Saccharomyces cerevisiae S288C: one gene and its partners. The protein of the gene in region 2 purifies or fractionates together with the protein of the main gene of each other region. This does not show direct contact. Each region holds a gene or a part of one and is shown on either strand. Other genes may lie near its edges. The genes, in order: NAM8, PRP42, YHC1 and PRP40.

Region 1 (5,181 bases), on a different chromosome or scaffold from region 2:
TGTATGCGATGGTTTTCTTATTTTTATCAGCTTGTTCAAAGTATGAATTTGTTGATAGCTGCTTTTTTATTAGTCAAGAATTGAGTTTAAAGAACATTGGCTTGTGATCATCATCGAAATTGATTCTCATCACTTAAATATCTTTTGCTCCCTGTTTCTGGCGATCCCTTCGACTAAATAAGGGGTCGTTGTTGTTACGTACGGCCCAACAGGGTAGTGCCTGCTCTAGCGTCGAAGTTAGAGGAAAAGAAGCTTAGAGAATAAAAACATTTACTAGTAGTAAGGGGTCTTATTGTCAGAAAGGGACAATTGCGTGGGCAGTATTTTCAAAGAGTGGCTTTCTTCTTCTGAACGGAGTTTCAACCTGCGCTTTCTTTTCCTCCTGCTAGGATTTATTTGTGAGAAAACGAAACTAGCTATAGAAACGCGTAGCACCGGCAGGCCGAAAACCGCTACTACGTAAAGGGGAATGAAAATGGGCCAAATTTGGTGTAAAGATATAGGAGAAGAGACACGGAGTAGGAATTCGCCGTGCCCCTATACAGAGACAACATGAATAGAGAGACAAACGCATTACGTAGTCTTGGAAGATAGCGCAACGGGAAATCTTGACACAGTAAGAAACATTTACAGTATAATAATACTAAAAATAAAATTAAGATACATCAATATAAAATTTTCGACAAATACAGAAAAGAACAGAGAAGAAAAAATGAAGGTGACGCAAAAAAGGAATTGACAGGCCGTAATGAGTAGTGATGGAAAGAAGGTAAATGGAAGTAATAAAGGAAAATCATAAACATGCTTAAAAGCGTACAATCTTGAATTGAATTAAGAATAACAATAACCTTGAAAGAAATGAAAATCAAAAGGAAAAACGCAACTATAACGATACAAAAAAGACTTAATAAAAGGACATGGAATCTTGAAAACGATAAAAAGCAATGAAAAAAAGAAAATAAAGCGCTGTTATATCACCGTCAGCCTAAGACCAAATACAATTTAACACTGAAGTAAAGAAAATACCAAGAAAGAAAAAGGGCCAAAAGGAAAACAAACATTTTTATATACACGTGTGGCTCAAGCAAACATAAAACCATTACTGCCTTGTTCCAAACGGTTTAACATTGCATTAGTGCTGTTAACAACCGCTTCGCTTCCTTGCATGATAACTTGTTGGCCACCCGTGCCTGAGAGGTCCATAGAGCTAGTGTCAGCCAGTAAACTAGTAGCTTGCGTATTTGTAGCATTATTATTACTGTAGAAACTGAAATTGTTCGAGCCTAATCCATTCGCATTAGCGTATGGATTAGAATAATTCAGAATTTGACATCCAGGAAGCATCGTGGATGAAACATTATTATCTGGCAGAACAGGTGCTTCACACGTACTGGATGGAATGTATCCGTAGTTAGGTTGCTGTAAACCTGGTTGCTGTTGTTGAACCTGTAAAGAGTTACTTAACATGGCTTGCTGAAGCAACGCTGTTTGCTTAGCAGACCTGCCCCAAGACAGTCTAACTCTTGAATTTGCAATGGGGAACCCTTGCATCCCAGCAATGGCAGCCTCAGCCGATAGCCGATCAACATACTGGACAAACCCGCAACATTTGCCTACCGGAATTTTGACATAGACTATCGTGCCAAAAGGTTGGAAATAAGCACGTAATTCGTCTTCAGTCACCAGTGATGACAATCCTCCGATAAACACAGTGGTGTTATTCGGATCAGTGAAGTGGTTTAAAGACGGCTGCTGTTGGACTGGATAAATGAATTGAGACATATGGTTTCTCTTAAAGCCCATGTTATTATTTCCATTGCTTAAAAATGATTGACCCTTGGAAAGAAATCTCGAGTCTACATTTTCGTTGTTTAGTGACGAAGAACTACGGTTGTAATCGTTGTTACCGCTGACATGCTGCTGCTGACCAGATGTGGGTCCTACTTTTATGGCTCTACCATTTAAAAATACGCCTTGCATTTCTGACAGAGCTAACTGTTGTTCATCAGAATTGGTAAACTTTACAAAACCGTAGCCCTTAGACATCCCGGTAACCTGGTCGTGCACAATTTTGGCATGAGAAGTAGAAGCATATCTGTTAATGAAAAGTTCAAATAATTGAGACTCTGTAACATTTGGTGCTAAGTCTCCAACAAATATAGAACAGTTGTTACCACTCTTCACGTTGTTAAGAGAATTGTTGCTGTTTGAATATGAGGATGTAGCCCAGTTTAATTTCAATTTTTTATTTGGAAAATTGGGTATAAGCATACCATTCTTTAAAAGTGCATTTGCTGCATGAGTAGATGAGGGAAAATCAACAAAGCAATATCCTTGATTATTCTTTGGACCCATTGATGATCTCGACCCATTATTAAGCGTATTATTCCACATCATCCGGACATTAATATTCGCTTCTCCCAGAGATGCCCAAATTTGCCTAACGGTATTCTTATCCCATGTAGGATCCAAGTCGCCCATGTACAATTGGTTACCAGTGGTCCCTAAACTCACGTTAGATGCGCCTTGAAGACTCAATACGCTTGTACTGCTATTGTTGGTTTCTGAGGAAATAGTATTAGTGTACGGAGATGAGTCGTTTCTTACCAGATTACCCCTGCTAGGATAATATGTTGTTTGTTTATAGGACATTTGTACCCGCAATGTATTAGGAACTTTTGACGGGATATAGACACGAACTTAATCGACTAAGCTGATAAAATGAAGGGAAAGTAACCTAAGGGCAAAGAATATGGTTCGGTGTTTGACTACCCGAATAAGGTCACGTCGATTTAAATGTTGTCACTAAAGGAAAGCTCTGATATAAGGATGTACGCACACACAATTTCACCACCAACTCGAATCTGAATAATCCCTGAAAAGCCCTTCCCTTTGTGCCAATAGTATTTGAAAAATAAACAAACTTAGATCTACTTAAAAAAAATCCAAGATTCTGCATTTTTCGCCCTGCCTCTCCTGAGGGTAACAAAAAAAAAAGTACAATCTATCAATTATATATTGTATTCTTATGAAACGTCAATCAAAGATTTTTGCAAGCAGCGTTTTAAGCTTGTTTGCACTTTTACCACATTCACCACCTTCCTTGATAATTACTTCGATTTTCTTACGTACTATAGGCAGGAATTGTTCGATAAATACCGCTTTTCGAGTATCGATATCCTGTGTTGCCAATGACAGTAGTGTGGCATTTACTCCACTGGAGGTAGCATCCTGAACTTTCAATTCTCTGGTAAATAGTTTCAAGTGCTCAAACGGCTGCGGATAATCTGGGATTAAATATGGGTTTCGTAGCGTACCGCTGTCCTCTGTAGTCTCTGCCGTGTCTCCGTCGCTTCTAGCGCGTTCATCCTGACATCCGTATTCAACAAGAGTGTACAGAGCATTGAGATGAATAGTGACATATTTGGCGTTTCGCTTCTTCGTTTGCACTATGCTAGCGCTATCATTTTTCCCTACCTGTCCCCAACCGAGCACTCCAAAGACACCGTTCAAAAGTTTTACCCAAGATTTCCTAACCACTTCATCTCCGCAATACTTCAACAGATGAGAGAGAAATTTAGTAGAATCTGCTTGAATTTGTGTAACAATATGTGTCATTGCCATGTTAATGTATAAGACAAAAATGTTGCAGTGCAATTTTAAAATCTCCGCATCGTGACTACCTATTTCATCTACGAGATCAATAAGTCCCTGACGTACTTGCTGCGATTCATCGCAAATCAACGGTATACTTTGAGTAAGTAATGGTGTCATAAGTCGAGATTTTATTATAGACGGTATTGACTTTTGGAATGTTGTTAATGTTTCCTTTCTCACATTGATGTTATGATGCTTTAAGAGCGTTAGCCGTTTTGTTAAATCATGTGGATTTTGGTCTAAATGTTGATTTCTAATAGAAATAGTCTTGGAAACGAAAGATGTATCGGTAGCATTCCTTGCTTTTTCCTTTGGCTTACCAACTTTTAACTTTTTTCTCAAAAAATCCTGCTTTTTTTGCTTCTGCTTTCTTGATTTTGTCATTTATTAACTTTGTTTATCTCTGCACCTTTTTCTTTTTTGATTACAACTTTTAACTATTATGAACATCGATGCCTTCACCTTATAATTAGGAATCTCGCTTTTTCTGGTGGAAAAATTTTCCGATGGCCTTTGCCATTCTGAAAAATAAAAGGCAATACTACGTTGGTATCAAAATAGTGGATAAACACATATTGTAATACTAAGCGATCATGTAGTTTTGGAGGTCATGTTAAGAAACTCATTGATATTTATATTACATACTGTGACGCTAGATAAATCACATATATAAAGGTATTATATTATATTATCTTTTTCTTTTTTTTTTTTTGTTATTTTCTAACGTTAATAGATTTGTTACATTTATTACCTTTTTTTCTTGCTTTTTGTTTGCTCTAGTCTTGTATAAGATTGTTTTATTTATAAAAACAGATTGTCCTTGTTGTTTTCTTCTGAGTATTGTTTAATATTAAATTCTGGCCCGCATTTTTAATTCTTGTATCATAAATTCAAAAATTATATTATATCAGGTTGCATCTGGAAGGTTTTTATCGGACCTTCGATTGGTATCTACCTCAAGTGAATGAGCTCCACCTTCTTCTGACTGGACCACCAAAGTATTGGAATCCGGAGTAGGCATCGAAATTTCTTTGTTCTTATCAGGATGAGCAGAATCTTCGTCACCAGCACTTGGCCTGGCTTTCGTTTCCAAGTTGATTTTGTATTGCTTCTGATAAGCACTTGTCTTAATATGTAGAGGCTTTGAAATTTTTGCAGACTTGCCCACAGATTGTTTATTACCTGTTGGAACATTTCCTTGTGAAGACTTCATTCCCACAGTTCTTCGCCGTGGGTATTGATTTATATTTTGAGAATAAAATGTGCTAGGAGGATAGTTTTTAGCAGTTGTAGATGGTGCTCTCGAACTATAAGGTGAAACAGCAGTGTTCCACTGCATGGAATTTGAACTTTGCATGTATGGGAACATCGCGGAACCTGGTGTCGATCTATAATTCGGTGTGTATGGTCTCCCAACATAGGTTGGAGCTGGTTGCATAGCTTGAGGGGGCAAAACATTCCATGAAGTTGCAGTTTGTGGATACAGCATATTGTTATCACATCCTTCTGGTGGAAAGAAAAAAT
Region 2 (5,168 bases):
GGAAATCTAGGGGATAACTTTGACTTATCAATTTTCACCAAGTGATGAACTGGTTTGACCAAAGAGCATGCAGATTTGGGCTTCACACAGGAGTGAGAGAATGATCTGTGAGTGACTAGTGAAAACCTTTGCATTTTGTTCGTGAATCTCGAGCCCTCTTCAAAGTGGTACAACTAAAAAAACAAAGGAGAGTATTTACACTATTTCCGGTCCTGTCTATTACTTTACAGATACCTCCCCAAATTAGTTATAAAATTCTAAACAGATGCTTTTCCTGTCTTTTTATTCTTCTGTTTTCGAAAGGCCCTTCGTAGATGATAGGTGATTTTGTCGTGTTCGCTTTTACCGTAAAGCGAATAAAGTAGTAGATGGGTAAAACTTGATGCGAAAATAGACAGTTTGCAAACAGCACAAAAGGAGCTCCGAAACAGCCTTTCTTCTTTTTCTAAATAGGTTATTAATGAAGAGTATGGGTAAGTCATTAAGGATTCACATTATGCAATCTTTCCCAGGGTCGGCACACCCACTTTCTAAAGAATCCGCACGCTTATGTTAGTTGGCAACGAATCACACTCAAGAGGTTTTACAATGAATACTGATCATGTGAAACATGATTAAGTTACTCTAATAGAGAATTGAATATCTTGATCACACTGCACTTCAGATGTTGCAATTGCGTTATAAGAGAGGATGTATTTGTAGTCCTTTATGCAGGAGGGTAATGCGTCAATTCAAATCGTTGCTTTAATACTCTGTCAGCATTGGTAACACTATTATTGGACGTACAAGACAATGTTCTAGAAAGTGGTAATTTGGACCCGTGAAGCGGTCACAGACACGTGTTGTTGAAGTGTTGATGTTTACGTGGACTATTTATGTTTCGTTATTGCTAGTGTTAGCAGGTACTTTCTTAATGAACCGAAATACGAATACAGATATAATTGATACTTTTAAACGAGAAGTCGATTTGCCAATACCTGCGCAACCAGGTCCACCATTCCCGCTTGTTACTGACTATTGTGACATTGTATGTGGATTTGGCCGCGGATCCGCCGAATTGGGTATTCCCACTGCCAATGTACCTATAAATCAGTTACCTAAAGGTATCAACGATTTGGATTTAGGGGTTTACTTTGGGTTTGCTCACATTAAAACTGTTGATGGTCAAGAACTATCGGTGGAAACAAGGCGGGATGGAAGAACTGTGGTTTATAATTACGGTCAATATTTAAGTGAAGCGAACGATGATTTGTCCGTACTTCCTATGGTACTTTCAGTTGGGAAAAATCCATTCTACGGAAATGATTTCAAAACCATGGAATTACATATTATACATGATTTTAAAAATGATTTTTATGGGGCCAGGGTCAAGTTCAATATTTTAGGTCATATCAGACCCGAATTGAACTACACTACTAAGGAAGCTCTGATCGAAGACATCAATATCGATATTAGGACTGCGCAGACTGTCCTTGCCACTCCACCGTATCAAGTATTCAAACAACAATTATAGAGATCTGCGGGAGTGATGAGGCTAGTAGTTTTTCTTAACGGTCATTAAGTATACATTTACATATTTATACCTTTTAATAAATGACAATGCCTTTTGGCTAAGGTTCTTCAGTAAACATTTCCTCTAATGTATCCATCTCCTCTGGGAAGTATGACTCACAGAATTCTGTTAAAGACGGCAAGACGCTCTGTGCAAATTTTTTGTCTATTTGGGGCCATATTTTTCTGACAATATATTGCCTCTTGTCCAAATATGACCTAGAAGTGTCGAAATAAATTAAACGGCAATAACAGTTCCAGAACATACCGTTCTGTAGGTAGTACTCCCAACCAAATTCTATTATCTTTTGAAATATGTTCTTTTCTACAAATTCTACGGTATCCTTCGAATAAAACTGTACTAAGTTATTCAATAAAATTTCTTGACCACTTTTTTTTTCTTTACAACTCAAACGTTTCCATACTTTATCAAACAGCTCCTTATTCAAAAGCCCGTTTGATTGTGAATCAGAATATCGACTGGAATACAGAGAATTCTGGCAGAACGTTTTGAACTGAAGATAGTCCCAAAATATCTCAAAATCATCAACGTTTTCAACATTGTCGGAATATGAGGACTCAATTTTTTCCAATAGATTTCGCAAAAGTACGTACTCATTTAACTTGCAAATAACTGAATACAGTAGTTTTATTATTTCGGTCTTCTTCAAAGAAAATTTAAGACCCATTAATAGAACGTTTTTTGCCCCCAAAAGGTCATTTTTTGAATTTATCAACCATTTACTGTATTTTATCCATACAAGATCATAATGGGCCAGAGGAAGTAAAGCTCTTTGAAAATTTAAATGTGTTAAAGAATCTGTTTGTAAGGTGATGGTATAATCCAAGTATTTTATCCATGTTTCTATTTCATCTGAAGAAACCAAGGTTTCTGGCGATGTATAATAGTTGATATAAATTTTTGATTCAAAAATGGAATAGATTTCAAGTACTTGATATTGTACAACCATGTACATTTCCTTCGTTATTTTCTTCAACTTTTTCTTTGCATCCTGCAGGTACGGTCCCTTTCTTCCACTGTAATTGATGTCTATCTTGAGTTTCTTCAATAATTCATCTTTACTTGTTAGTTGTGATAATTGCTTTAGGTCCATTATATCGTCTATGCGCTGTAACCATAATGCATAAAATTTCGAAAAAGAGTGTAAAGGAATTTCGAGTATCTTCCTCAAAACGTTCCAATATTTCTTAGAAGACGTACATCTTGAGCTAATTTGTTCCAGGTATAAATCCCAGAATTCCCCACTGAAAAAATGCAAACCAACATATTCTTCAGCTGTTTCATATTTTTTAAACAACTGCTTCTGGTGTGAGATAACGTTATTACAAAACTTTAAATATGAAGTCCATAATAGTAAAGATCTTTGGTTAAAGGCTTGCAATCCGCGCTGAAATATCTTATGAGACATAGAAACATTCCCTAGTTTGTATTCCAGTAGCGCGAAGTCGATATAGTAGTTTTCTAGATAGGGAAACTCATTCAGCATAGAAGAATAAGTACATCGTATTAACTTTAATAATTGAGGCTCAGTGGACTTGCATATTGGTGCCGAAGCCTTTACTATATAGTTCAGTAACTTCTCCCAATATGCCAAACTTTTAGGGTATCTCGAGACATTCAATGTAAGAGTTGAAAAATTCTCATCGTGAATCAAAGCAGTATATTTATCCATAGATGTTTGCTACTTCAGTTAATGGTCAGCTGGGTATTTTCTGAAACTCTTTCGAGCGCCTACTTGACTTTTTTATGTAGAAATTTACGTTGTTTTTCCCACGGGCTTTAGGTCAGACACTGGTTTTGGACGTCACAAGAGCATCTTTGAAATTTAATGAAAAGAAGTAGAAAAATTACAAATAAGAACTTGTGTATCAATAGATTAACAAAATATACGTGAATAACCGTAAATAAATAAATAAACTTAATAAATAAAGAAAAGGGTGCGATTTTTCTAGATATTTATGCACATTATAGTTGGGATTTGACCCAACCTTCCAAGCCTCCTTTTACAATAATTTCTTGTAGGTTCTTACCTAGCTCACCCACTTTTTGCTCCAAGATCACAGGGCCGTCCAAAGAACCTTCGGTAACGACCACTTTAGCATCAGCTACATCCCATTTCAAAAACCAACCAGTTCTTCTTGTAAGTTCTTTTGGAGCACCTTGATATTTCTCACGTAATTTTTTGATTAATGCTGGGATTTCCAAGGTCAGAAGAGCATTGTTAATGGAGTTTCTTGAAAAAATATTACCAAAAGATCCTGAAACAACTAAGTTGATACCTTTAGCCAATAAGGCGGTGGCCGCTTGTTCCCTGGAGGAACCGGTACCGAAATTGAACCCACTGACCACTATATCACCTGGATGAACCTTGGTTCTGAACTCGGCATCATAATTTTCCATACAAACTTGCGCCATCTTTTCTTTAGGCACATCATCCTGATAAGTGTACTTACCAGGATATATACCATCGGTATTGATGTTATCGGCATCACATAAAACTAATTCACCAGAAAACTCTCTTGGGAAACCTTCTAATATCTCAACGGATTGTTTTGGAGCCTCTGTTTGAGCGTTAACTTCCTCTTCAACCACGGGATTCTCAATTATCTCAGTCTTAACGCCGCTGAATGGAATTTCGCTTGTGGACAATACCTCAGCAGGAGAACTAATCTTACCCAGCACGGCAGAAGCGGCGACTACAGCAGGGGAAGCTAAGTAAGCCAATGCATCCTTGGAACCCATTCTACCTTTGAAGTTTCTGTTTGTGGCACTGATACCAACTTCACCTGGTTCCAGTAATCCCGCACCTAGACCGATGCATGGACCACAACCAGAAGGCAGTGGGATACAGCCAGCCTTTAGCAGCTTTTCCCAAGCGCCTGATTTACGGGCATCAGCCTCAATTTCTGAAGAGGCAGCAGCGACATAGAACTCCACACCTGGAGCCACCTTGTTGACTTTGTTTAAGTCTCCAGTAGGACAAACCACATCCGCTGCAGATTGCAAATCAGATAGACGGGAGTTTGTACATGACACTAGATAAGCTTTATTTATCTTGATGTCTTGTTGAGATAGATCTTGCACGGTGTTGGAGACCTTAACACTATTTGGACCTGAGACGTAGTGAGTTAGCGTGGCTAGATCGATGATCAGTTTCTTGGCATAATGTGCATCCTTGTCTGCTTTCGGAATCTTCGCCTTTTCTTCTAGTGCGCGGATAGTCTTTGGATTAATCCTTGGATGATTATTGGTGCCCAGCTTTTGCAAACGGTTTTTATACCAGTCGATCAAAGTTTTGTCCACGGGGAACAAACCAGAAAGAGCCCCCCACTCGGTGGTCATGTTAGCAATAGTGAGTCTGTGATCGATAGGCAATGCATTCAAAGAGTCACCCGTGAATTCAATGGCGTGATTTAGAACTTGATCATTGTTGAAAAGCCCACATAATGCGACAATGATATCTTTTCCGGAAACACCCTGAGGCAATTGACCTTTCAACTCAACCTGAGCCACTGGTGGGATCTGCCACCACGTCTGTCCCGTGGCCCATATGGCTGCAGCGTCTGTTCTCACTATTGGAGTGCCCAGCGACCCC
Region 3 (4,177 bases), on a different chromosome or scaffold from region 2:
TTAACAGAAAAGAGTAAAGAGATGAGTTTTGCGAGATCAGAAACAAAAACAAAAAGGAAAAAAAAAGGAAATTTTTTTGGGAGAAGGAAAAAAGGGTTAAGTCTGTAGAGAAACTCCGTAGTTCCCTTCTGTATTACTAATTGGTTACCAAGTAATAAATACCTGAGAGTAGTAATATATAAAAGAGAAATCGTATAAGGACCGTGTTAAATTTATATATATTAAGGAAGTCTTTCGGTTGGTAGTGTGAGATAACTAATTCTTTTTGGAGAGCCTTCTTCTTTGCTCTATCGTGGTAATAATCTACATATTCTCACAATCGCACACGTACGCTTTCTCTCTCACAAGTAACAAATTATTCTTTTTGCATTATAGACTACGTACGATAAAAATATAAAAACAGAAAATGGTCGAAGGTGATTTTGTCGATGAGCAATCGAACATTGCCTTACTAAGCTCCAAATCCATGTGTGGTGATCATCATAGCGTCAAGAATAGCATAGGGGATGAGATCTTTAAATTATTGACAAAGATTTTAAATTCGGATGAGAAAGCAAGCGGAGATGTGCACACACTCGTTTCTGGGACCCCGGATCTCTCAAATTTTAACCTCGATAATGAACCACTGGAAAACATACTCGCTGTTTTCATAATATCTTTTATTATTGTAGTGGTTGGAGTTTTACTACTTGGGTTGATTGGCATGATATTCATATCTCTCCGTTCAGGCAGCAGTAATGATAAGAAACTACAGTCCAACGATGAAGAAAAGCAAGCACTTGCTGAAAAAGCATGAAATAAAAATAGATATAATAGATGGCACCGCTCTTCACGCCCGAAAGTTGGACATTTTAAATTTTAATTCTCATGATAGTAACGATCGTGCACATTCAATTAATTATCGCATACCAAACATTTTTTTTCCTTTTTCAATTCAACTAATCTCAATTTTTTAATTTTCCTTTTTTTATTTCCTTTTTTTTTATTCTCATCATACCATTTTCATTCGTTGTTGATATCTCTATTGTTTTTTTTGGCAAAATATAGTCTACATATAATATTTAATAATCTAATCTGATAGCGTTAATTTCCATACCGCCTCCTTTTATATCCGTTGGCACTCGACGGTTTCCGTATGCCGTCGGAATGCATCCGCTTCTTGGACTCCTTGATCGTGGTTTGCAGTATATCTACACTGTAAAATATAGAAGTTTTTGGAATGGTGTTACTCCATTGTGATAATATCTTTGGGGGTTCTAGCTTCTTTGGGTTATTCAACCTAGGAAATGGATTGCTCTCGCACGTCTCATCTCTGGATCTTGAAGTTTGCTTGAAGGAATGGTGTGCAGATTTTTCATTGGCTCTTTGGGGTAATTTGCTGGCTTTAACCAAATCTCCTATATCAAACCTGTTAGCATCCACAAATACTTTGGAATATCCTGGTGAGCCATCGTATAACAATTTCAAGGTATCTATTGAGGTTTGTGCCAGTTCTTTTTGGTTCATTTTCTTCACATGCATGATGTGTCTTTTCTCCTTATTTGAAAGGCATGTAACTTTTAGCGTCTCATTTTGACTACTGTTTTCTCTTTCTTTCCTGCCTCTTTTTCCAATGTGGCGTCTTTTATGATTATGTTTATTAATAATGTCTCTTGCTTTGTTCCTATAATAGTCAGCTGTTATACGAAGGTGATTCTTACCGACCAAGTGCGATTTACGAACGCTCAACGTGTCATGGGTCAAATACGAATGACAGTATTCACAATAGTATCTCGTCATTGCCTATCTCTTTCCTCTCCGTTACTTGAGCACCTTCATCGCCTACACTAGGAGCTCATATTATATCTTCAGTATAGCAAGAATATTTTCTGTTATCCTTAACGCTTACCCGCCTATGTACCTTGACACTTGCGGAAATCTAGTGTTCAATGATAAGGTACTGTGTGGAACATATGAAAGTGAAAAGAGTTTGAACCGTTTATTATCTCTATACAAGTGTCTCTATTCACATATAAAAGAGTGAAAATAAAAATAACTTTTAAGATTTTATTACCTACATGAGATTAGAAAAATCATAACTATATTACTCAGCGGCTGTGCCTGTTGTTGATCAAAAGAAAAGATCCGCCCCTTCGAACGTCTTAGTGCCGCCTTTTGCCCGCTTATCAATTTTCTCTGAGGGAACATAACGGCATTTATCTATTCGACTTCCAAATCTACATACACGTATATAGATACATATATATATGTGTGTGTGCGCCTGTGTGTACTAGCACTTCTCAATATTATAATTCTTCCGTAAAGTTCGATCGTGACTTCCTGTTGCACAGTTATCTTAAATAATAGAATAAAAAGCTAACGCAGATTCAAGTGGGGCGTTGTCAGGCACACAAAAAGACAAGACAAAAAGTAGCGTACTAGACTTACAGTTATGCTGTTGTGTAATAGAAAAGTCCCCAAGACTTTAAATACCTGTTTTATACTGCATATATTCACTCTGTTAACACTGGGTGTGTTAGTGTCCGGAATGCCGTCAAAAATGGTATCATTCGCCTCTCAGGAGACTTTGCAGAGAATAAATAATCTCCTTCGAGGGTCTGCCAATCGAGATGTTGACATTATTGCAGAATATTTGAAAAAAGACGACGATGATGATGGCGGCGATAAGGATCACCATAACATCGATATTGACCCTTTACCTCGCCGTCCTAGTTTAACGCCTGATAGGCAACTTCTAAAAGTCGGTTTGCATGGTGCTATAAGTTCAGATTTAGAAGTCTGTAGTAATTTGACTATAAATGAGGTACTCCTGAAATTTCCCGGTTCTAACGCTGCAGACGCTGCAGTAACACAAGCTCTTTGTAAGGGTATGGTGAATTTTTTTAATAGTGGGATTGGAGGTGGTGGCTACGTAGTTTTTTCTGGCAAAGACGATGAAGATCATCTATCCATTGATTTTAGAGAAAAAGCACCCATGGATTCACATAAGTTCATGTTCGAAAACTGCTCTCTATGCTCAAAAATAGGGGGTCTTGCTGTCGGTGTTCCAGGTGAATTGATGGGTCTCTATCGCCTCTTTAAAGAAAGAGGTAGCGGCCAAGTTGATTGGCGTGATCTAATTGAACCAGTCGCAAAGCTGGGAAGCGTGGGTTGGCAAATAGGCGAAGCACTCGGTGCCACTTTAGAACTTTATGAGGATGTTTTCCTGACATTGAAGGAAGATTGGTCGTTTGTATTGAATTCTACCCATGACGGTGTTTTGAAAGAAGGCGATTGGATCAAGAGGCCGGCACTATCTAACATGCTAATGGAACTGGCTAAAAATGGTTCCGTGGCCCCATTTTATGACCCCGATCACTGGATTGCAAAATCCATGATTGATACTGTCGCAAAATACAATGGAATAATGAACTTGCAGGATGTTTCATCGTATGATGTTCATGTTACTAAACCACTGTCCATGAAAATTAGGAAGGGCGCCAATTTCATCCCTGATAACGATATGACCGTATTAACAAGTAGCGGCTCAAGTTCCGGGGCTGCACTACTTGCGGCGTTAAGGATAATGGATAATTTCCAGAATCAAGAAGGGGGCGATTATGAAAAAGAAACTACCTATCATTTGCTTGAAAGCATGAAATGGATGGCAAGCGCAAGAAGCAGGTTAGGCGATTTTGAAGGCGAAGCATTACCTAAGCATATAGAAGAGGTATTGGATCCAGAATGGGCTTTGAAAGCAGTGAAATCAATCAAAAGAAACTCTCAAGACGGAAATTTTAAAACTTTAGAAAACTGGACGCTTTATGATCCGGCATACGATATCAATAACCCGCATGGAACTGCCCACTTCAGTATAGTAGATTCACATGGGAATGCTGTTTCCTTGACAACCACCATCAACTTGTTGTTCGGTTCCTTAGTACACGACCCAAAAACCGGGGTGATCTTCAATAATGAAATGGACGATTTCGCTCAATTCAACAAATCTAATAGTTTTGAATTGGCACCCTCCATATACAACTTTCCCGAGCCCGGGAAAAGACCCCTATCATCCACTGCACCCACTATTGTGCTGTCAGAATTAGGCATCCCAGACCTCGTGGTCGGCGCTTCCGGCGGCTCAAGAATCACTACGAGTGTTTTACAAACAATTGTGAGGACGTACTGGTATAACATG
Region 4 (5,115 bases), on a different chromosome or scaffold from region 2:
TGCTCAGATAACTTGTCAGAATCAGCCTTATTCATGAATTTAAATAGGTTGCTCATAATCTTAAAGTTTTCTGTCAAAAGTTCTTTTCTCACGAATGGGGAAGCATTTGAGATCAATGTCAACCAAAACTTGATAAATGTAAATCTTAATGAGTCATGTTTGGATGAATCAGCAGATGAATTCCCATTGGCTAACTCAGACTTGCTTGGTACCAACAGTCTTGGTAAAATAGGTAATGAAAAATCGAAATATGAAACTAATTCCTCTATATGTTGCCCATTGTTGAAATTGACTATTTGTTTGAGTAGACGAAGAATTGGATTAGTTAATTGCGCACGCATATTGTTCAACCCTCTATAGAGAACTTTTGTGTAATCGGTCAATATCAATCTAATTAGACCGCTCCCAATAGTCACTGTACTAGTATCAGATGACAAAACTCGTAAGGTTTTAGTCAGTAATGAGGTAGTTTTCGAGAATTTCCCATGGTTATTTACTTGAGCATAATATGACCAAGTCTGTACCAATTGAGCACCAAATCCTCTTTGGAAGAACACTATTAGAGGTTGGTAATCTTTGGAGAGAGTTTCATCTTCGACTGCACTGATTATACTTTCTAGTGTTTCTAATGTACCGTCTTCGAACTCTTTCCCTTGGGTGTACTTCTCCCTTCTCTGGTCGCGAGATCCATAGGCTTCGCTATGATTACTCATTATGTAAGTGCTCCTCTAGTTCTGTTAGATGAAGTAGTACCGCATAGATTAGAGAAATAATATCCAATCAAGAATATAACCGAACTATTCTTTGCGATGAGCTTTATTGCTGAAATTTTTCATATTTCGTCTACAGTGATATAATATTGAAATCCTCATGCAAGTCGTGCATAGGTAAAAGCTGTTTACTATATGTTGGTGCACTATTATCATATAATTTTAGTTTGGTCGTATACTAGTGCGGCAGTAATAATAAATGCTTTAGAATCTTCAATCTTCATTTGTTTACGTAAAATGAAAACGTTTTGTGTTAGAATTGACAGATTGAAGTTTAATTTTAGGTGTCGGGAGAAACATTTTAATCCCTTTTTATGAATATAATTTAAGTACTAAAAAAATCACCATAATTATACAAAGTAACTGCAATTTAAAAGTACGTTTATAATTAATTCACATACACATGTTATTGTATCTAACTAAATAGTCTCGAAATAGTTCAATTGAGTACGCAAACTAACACAGTCAGTACAGATCGTAAAGTTTTCCGTCAATAGGGCCCTGACGGAGAAAGATTCCCTTTCCTATATTAGGAATCTAATAGACAAATTCATCAAGATATGCTTCCGCAACAAATCTTGCTCTGGCATTCAAAAACAGTTTAATTTCACTGATTTCCTTATCCACGTCCTCCATGAATTCAATAATAAAATCAACCAATTTCCCAGTTTTCATTGATTCAGTATGCTTATTAGTTATTAGAAAAGAAATACTGTAGCCAGGTATTGGTACACGTCTCAGAATGTAGAATGCTTCAGCACGCTGTTCCAAAAATCTAGTAAACTTGTGAACTAAAATCTGCTCAATTTCATCTGCCTGTTTCACCATTAAACTCATACGCACCGAGTTTACACTGGGCTCAATCAATACTTGTTCATTTTCATTACGAGATATATGCATCGGTTGGAGCAACAATTCGGCGCTAGTGTTAGGGACTTCAACTTCCGGTCTGTTGTGCCTCTCCACTTCCTGCGAAGAGAAATTGCTCAAAGTCAACGCAGCTTCCAGGGAATAACGAACAGCCGTTAGATACGGACGTAATGATTGTGACATTTCCTACTATCAGTTGCTTCCTCTTTTATCTTTTGTCAAAGTGACACCGAGTTGTTCCGAAAGCCTCTATTTGCTTGGCTTTACAGGCTTTTTTTGTTCTATAATTGTATTTTGCTATACAAAAGGGGCGACGTGGTAAACGATATGAAATTATCGACAATAATAATGTACTTGGAAATCTGGCAGTTGATGACATCGCAATAGCGTGCCTACCTATCAGGATAACAAGGTCTGAAGCCAGATCGACCACTAGACAAGCATTGCCGGAGGTGGGAGACGTGAAACTATGTCTATTTGGAAGGAAGCTAAAGATGCAAGTGGAAGGATATATTATTACAATACTTTGACAAAGAAATCTACGTGGGAGAAGCCCAAGGAACTAATTTCTCAGGAGGAGCTACTTCTTCGAGAAAATGGCTGGAAGGCGGCCAAGACGGCAGACGGCAAAGTATACTATTATAATCCAACAACAAGAGAAACCAGCTGGACTATTCCGGCCTTCGAGAAGAAAGTAGAACCCATCGCAGAACAAAAACATGATACAGTATCCCATGCACAGGTTAATGGAAATAGAATAGCCCTTACGGCTGGAGAAAAACAAGAGCCGGGACGAACTATAAACGAGGAGGAAAGCCAATATGCTAATAACTCTAAACTGCTTAATGTCAGGAGAAGGACTAAAGAAGAAGCAGAGAAGGAATTTATTACCATGCTGAAGGAAAATCAAGTAGACTCTACTTGGTCATTCAGTAGAATTATTTCAGAACTGGGGACCAGAGATCCAAGGTATTGGATGGTCGATGATGACCCCTTATGGAAGAAAGAAATGTTTGAGAAATATCTTTCCAATAGATCAGCCGATCAACTTCTTAAGGAACACAATGAAACAAGCAAATTCAAAGAAGCCTTTCAGAAAATGTTGCAAAACAATTCTCATATAAAATATTACACCCGTTGGCCTACCGCAAAGAGACTAATTGCCGACGAACCAATATACAAACACTCCGTGGTCAATGAAAAGACAAAGAGACAGACCTTTCAAGATTATATAGATACCCTCATCGACACTCAGAAAGAATCAAAAAAAAAATTGAAAACACAGGCCCTAAAAGAACTAAGAGAGTATTTAAACGGTATTATAACAACATCATCCTCTGAAACTTTCATAACCTGGCAGCAGCTTTTAAATCACTATGTTTTTGATAAGAGTAAGAGATATATGGCGAACCGGCACTTCAAAGTCTTAACCCACGAAGATGTTTTAAACGAGTATCTGAAAATAGTAAATACGATTGAAAACGATCTTCAAAACAAACTAAATGAGCTCCGACTGCGCAATTATACCAGAGACCGTATTGCTAGAGATAACTTTAAAAGCTTATTAAGAGAAGTGCCAATCAAAATCAAAGCAAATACTAGATGGTCAGATATTTATCCTCATATAAAGTCTGATCCGCGCTTTTTACATATGCTTGGAAGGAATGGCTCGTCCTGCCTTGATTTATTTTTAGATTTTGTTGATGAACAAAGGATGTACATCTTTGCACAAAGATCAATAGCCCAACAGACGTTGATAGATCAAAATTTTGAATGGAATGATGCCGATAGCGACGAGATCACCAAGCAAAACATAGAAAAAGTTCTGGAAAATGACCGGAAATTTGACAAGGTGGATAAAGAAGACATCAGTTTGATTGTTGATGGTTTGATAAAGCAAAGAAACGAAAAGATACAACAGAAACTCCAAAATGAGCGTAGGATATTGGAGCAAAAGAAGCACTATTTTTGGTTACTTTTGCAAAGGACATATACAAAAACCGGTAAGCCCAAGCCTAGTACGTGGGATTTAGCTTCCAAAGAGCTTGGCGAATCTCTTGAATACAAGGCACTAGGCGATGAAGATAACATAAGAAGACAAATTTTCGAGGATTTTAAGCCTGAAAGCTCTGCACCGACTGCCGAAAGCGCTACTGCAAACTTAACGTTGACCGCGTCAAAAAAGAGGCATTTAACTCCGGCTGTGGAATTGGACTATTGATTCTGACGTGTCGACCTCTATCTTGTTAATCATTATATAAATTATACATAGAGATTACATGTTATTTCAAGTTTGCGATCACCGCACAATTTCTTAGTCATTGTTGTAAGTGTTCTGCAAAAATTTCAGCTTTTGTACCTTATTTTCACAAAATTCAAACACCTGTCCGAACTGTGTTTTAACCAGTGTTTTTGAATTCAAGAGTTCAGTAATACTTTCATAATTTTTTAACCACTCCATCCAAGACAAACAATGGAGGAATGAATCTGCCAAATCGTCATCTTTTCTCACCCCCGAATTATCTTGGATCTCTAGTATATCACATAGCTTGAAACTTTTTTTTTTGGTAAGGGCATTTCTTATCCTATTATTCCAAACTCCTATGAACTCGACCAGTTTTGTAGAACTAGTTGAATTACCTTCTAGTATTGAGGTTGAAAGTATTTTTTTCACTAGCTTTATTCGAGAATCTTTGCTATGTTTGTTAGATTTTAACTTTTTTGAACTGGTCGGTGTCTCTTCTCTTGGAATGCACCAATATGAAGTCATCCGATGTGGATCGGACGAACATACCATATACCTCAACTTGGACGTATTCGGTATTTTATTCGTATACTTCATTTTATTTTCCAAGTTAGAGAAAAGAATCTGTTCGAGAATATTCACTTTTAAAATTGGGTCTAAAATATGCCTCGAAGACATAGTTCTGGTACGTTGCCTTTCAATTGTAAACATATCTGGTATCGGCATAGATTCAAATAAATACTCCGTAAGGTTAAATACAAGCTCAGAAGTTTCAGCAGGATTCAAGCTTAACTTTTTGAGGTTTTGAAAAAATTTCTCCTCTAGATTTATCTTTTGCCAGTCTAGTACTTTAGGGAGCGGATCATTATTGAGCAATTGCATCTTAGAGAAAGCAAAGTTAGAAACACCAGCATCCATAGACAATATGTTAATTCTTCCCTCTCTTATCTTTTGTTGTCGTAACTTCTCCAAAAATTCACACTGTTCTTGAATGTAGGTTCTTTTAGCTTCTTTCGTCGTGCCATTTACTGCTCCAATAACAAATGATAAAGATTTCAGTTGTGTGCTTTTTGCATTTTGGCAGCAGGAATCGATGAGTTGCAATATCTTAGCTTTCTGTGCTGTCGACATATTACTATCTTTTTTAGCTTTAGACTGTATAACCGTAAGCCTTCGTTGTATGCAATGGATAAACAAATATGGAATCGCCAGTTGAAACAAAAAAATGAG

Evidence for each region.
Region 1: the proteins of PRP42 (region 2) and NAM8 purify together in Saccharomyces cerevisiae (affinity purification with mass spectrometry; 5 studies listed by BioGRID). This does not show direct contact.
Region 3: the proteins of PRP42 (region 2) and YHC1 purify together in Saccharomyces cerevisiae (affinity purification with mass spectrometry; 5 studies listed by BioGRID). This does not show direct contact.
Region 4: the proteins of PRP42 (region 2) and PRP40 purify together in Saccharomyces cerevisiae (affinity purification with mass spectrometry; 5 studies listed by BioGRID). This does not show direct contact.

The regions. Positions count from the first base shown.
Region 1 is NC_001140.6:275,624-280,804, reverse strand, and holds NAM8 (Nam8p), read right to left. Parts: upstream 2,653-5,181; coding exon 1,081-2,652; downstream 1-1,080. Other genes in the region: YHR086W-A (uncharacterized protein), read right to left, coding at 413-574; IPI1 (Ipi1p), read right to left, coding at 3,037-4,041; homeodomain family transcription factor STE12, read right to left, coding at 4,565-5,181. UniProt on the Saccharomyces cerevisiae protein: Component of the U1 small nuclear ribonucleoprotein complex (U1 snRNP) involved in the initiation of meiotic recombination. Involved in the formation of DSBs at recombination hot-spots through meiosis-specific splicing of REC107 pre-mRNA.
Region 2 is NC_001136.10:931,581-936,748, reverse strand, and holds PRP42 (mRNA splicing protein PRP42), read right to left. Parts: upstream 3,246-5,168; coding exon 1,611-3,245; downstream 1-1,610. Other genes in the region: mitochondrial 54S ribosomal protein uL5m MRPL7, read right to left, coding at 1-134; FMN1 (riboflavin kinase), read left to right, coding at 857-1,513; homoaconitate hydratase LYS4, read right to left, coding at 3,539-5,168. UniProt on the Saccharomyces cerevisiae protein: Essential component of the U1 snRNP particle, which recognizes and binds the 5'-splice site of pre-mRNA. Together with other non-snRNP factors, U1 snRNP forms the spliceosomal commitment complex, that targets pre-mRNA to the splicing pathway.
Region 3 is NC_001144.5:723,638-727,814, forward strand, and holds YHC1 (Yhc1p), read right to left. Parts: upstream 1,780-4,177; coding exon 1,084-1,779; downstream 1-1,083. Other genes in the region: YLR297W (uncharacterized protein), read left to right, coding at 407-796; ECM38 (gamma-glutamyltransferase), read left to right, coding at 2,432-4,177. UniProt on the Saccharomyces cerevisiae protein: Component of the spliceosomal U1 snRNP, which is essential for recognition of the pre-mRNA 5' splice-site and the subsequent assembly of the spliceosome.
Region 4 is NC_001143.9:416,201-421,315, forward strand, and holds PRP40 (snoRNA-splicing protein PRP40), read left to right. Parts: upstream 1-2,109; coding exon 2,110-3,861; downstream 3,862-5,115. Other genes in the region: URB1 (Urb1p), read right to left, coding at 1-713; ARC19 (Arc19p), read right to left, coding at 1,308-1,823; CCE1 (cruciform cutting endonuclease), read right to left, coding at 3,955-5,016. UniProt on the Saccharomyces cerevisiae protein: Required for pre-spliceosome formation, which is the first step of pre-mRNA splicing. This protein is associated with snRNP U1. Two commitment complexes, CC1 and CC2, have been defined in yeast. CC1 is a basal complex dependent only on the 5' splice site.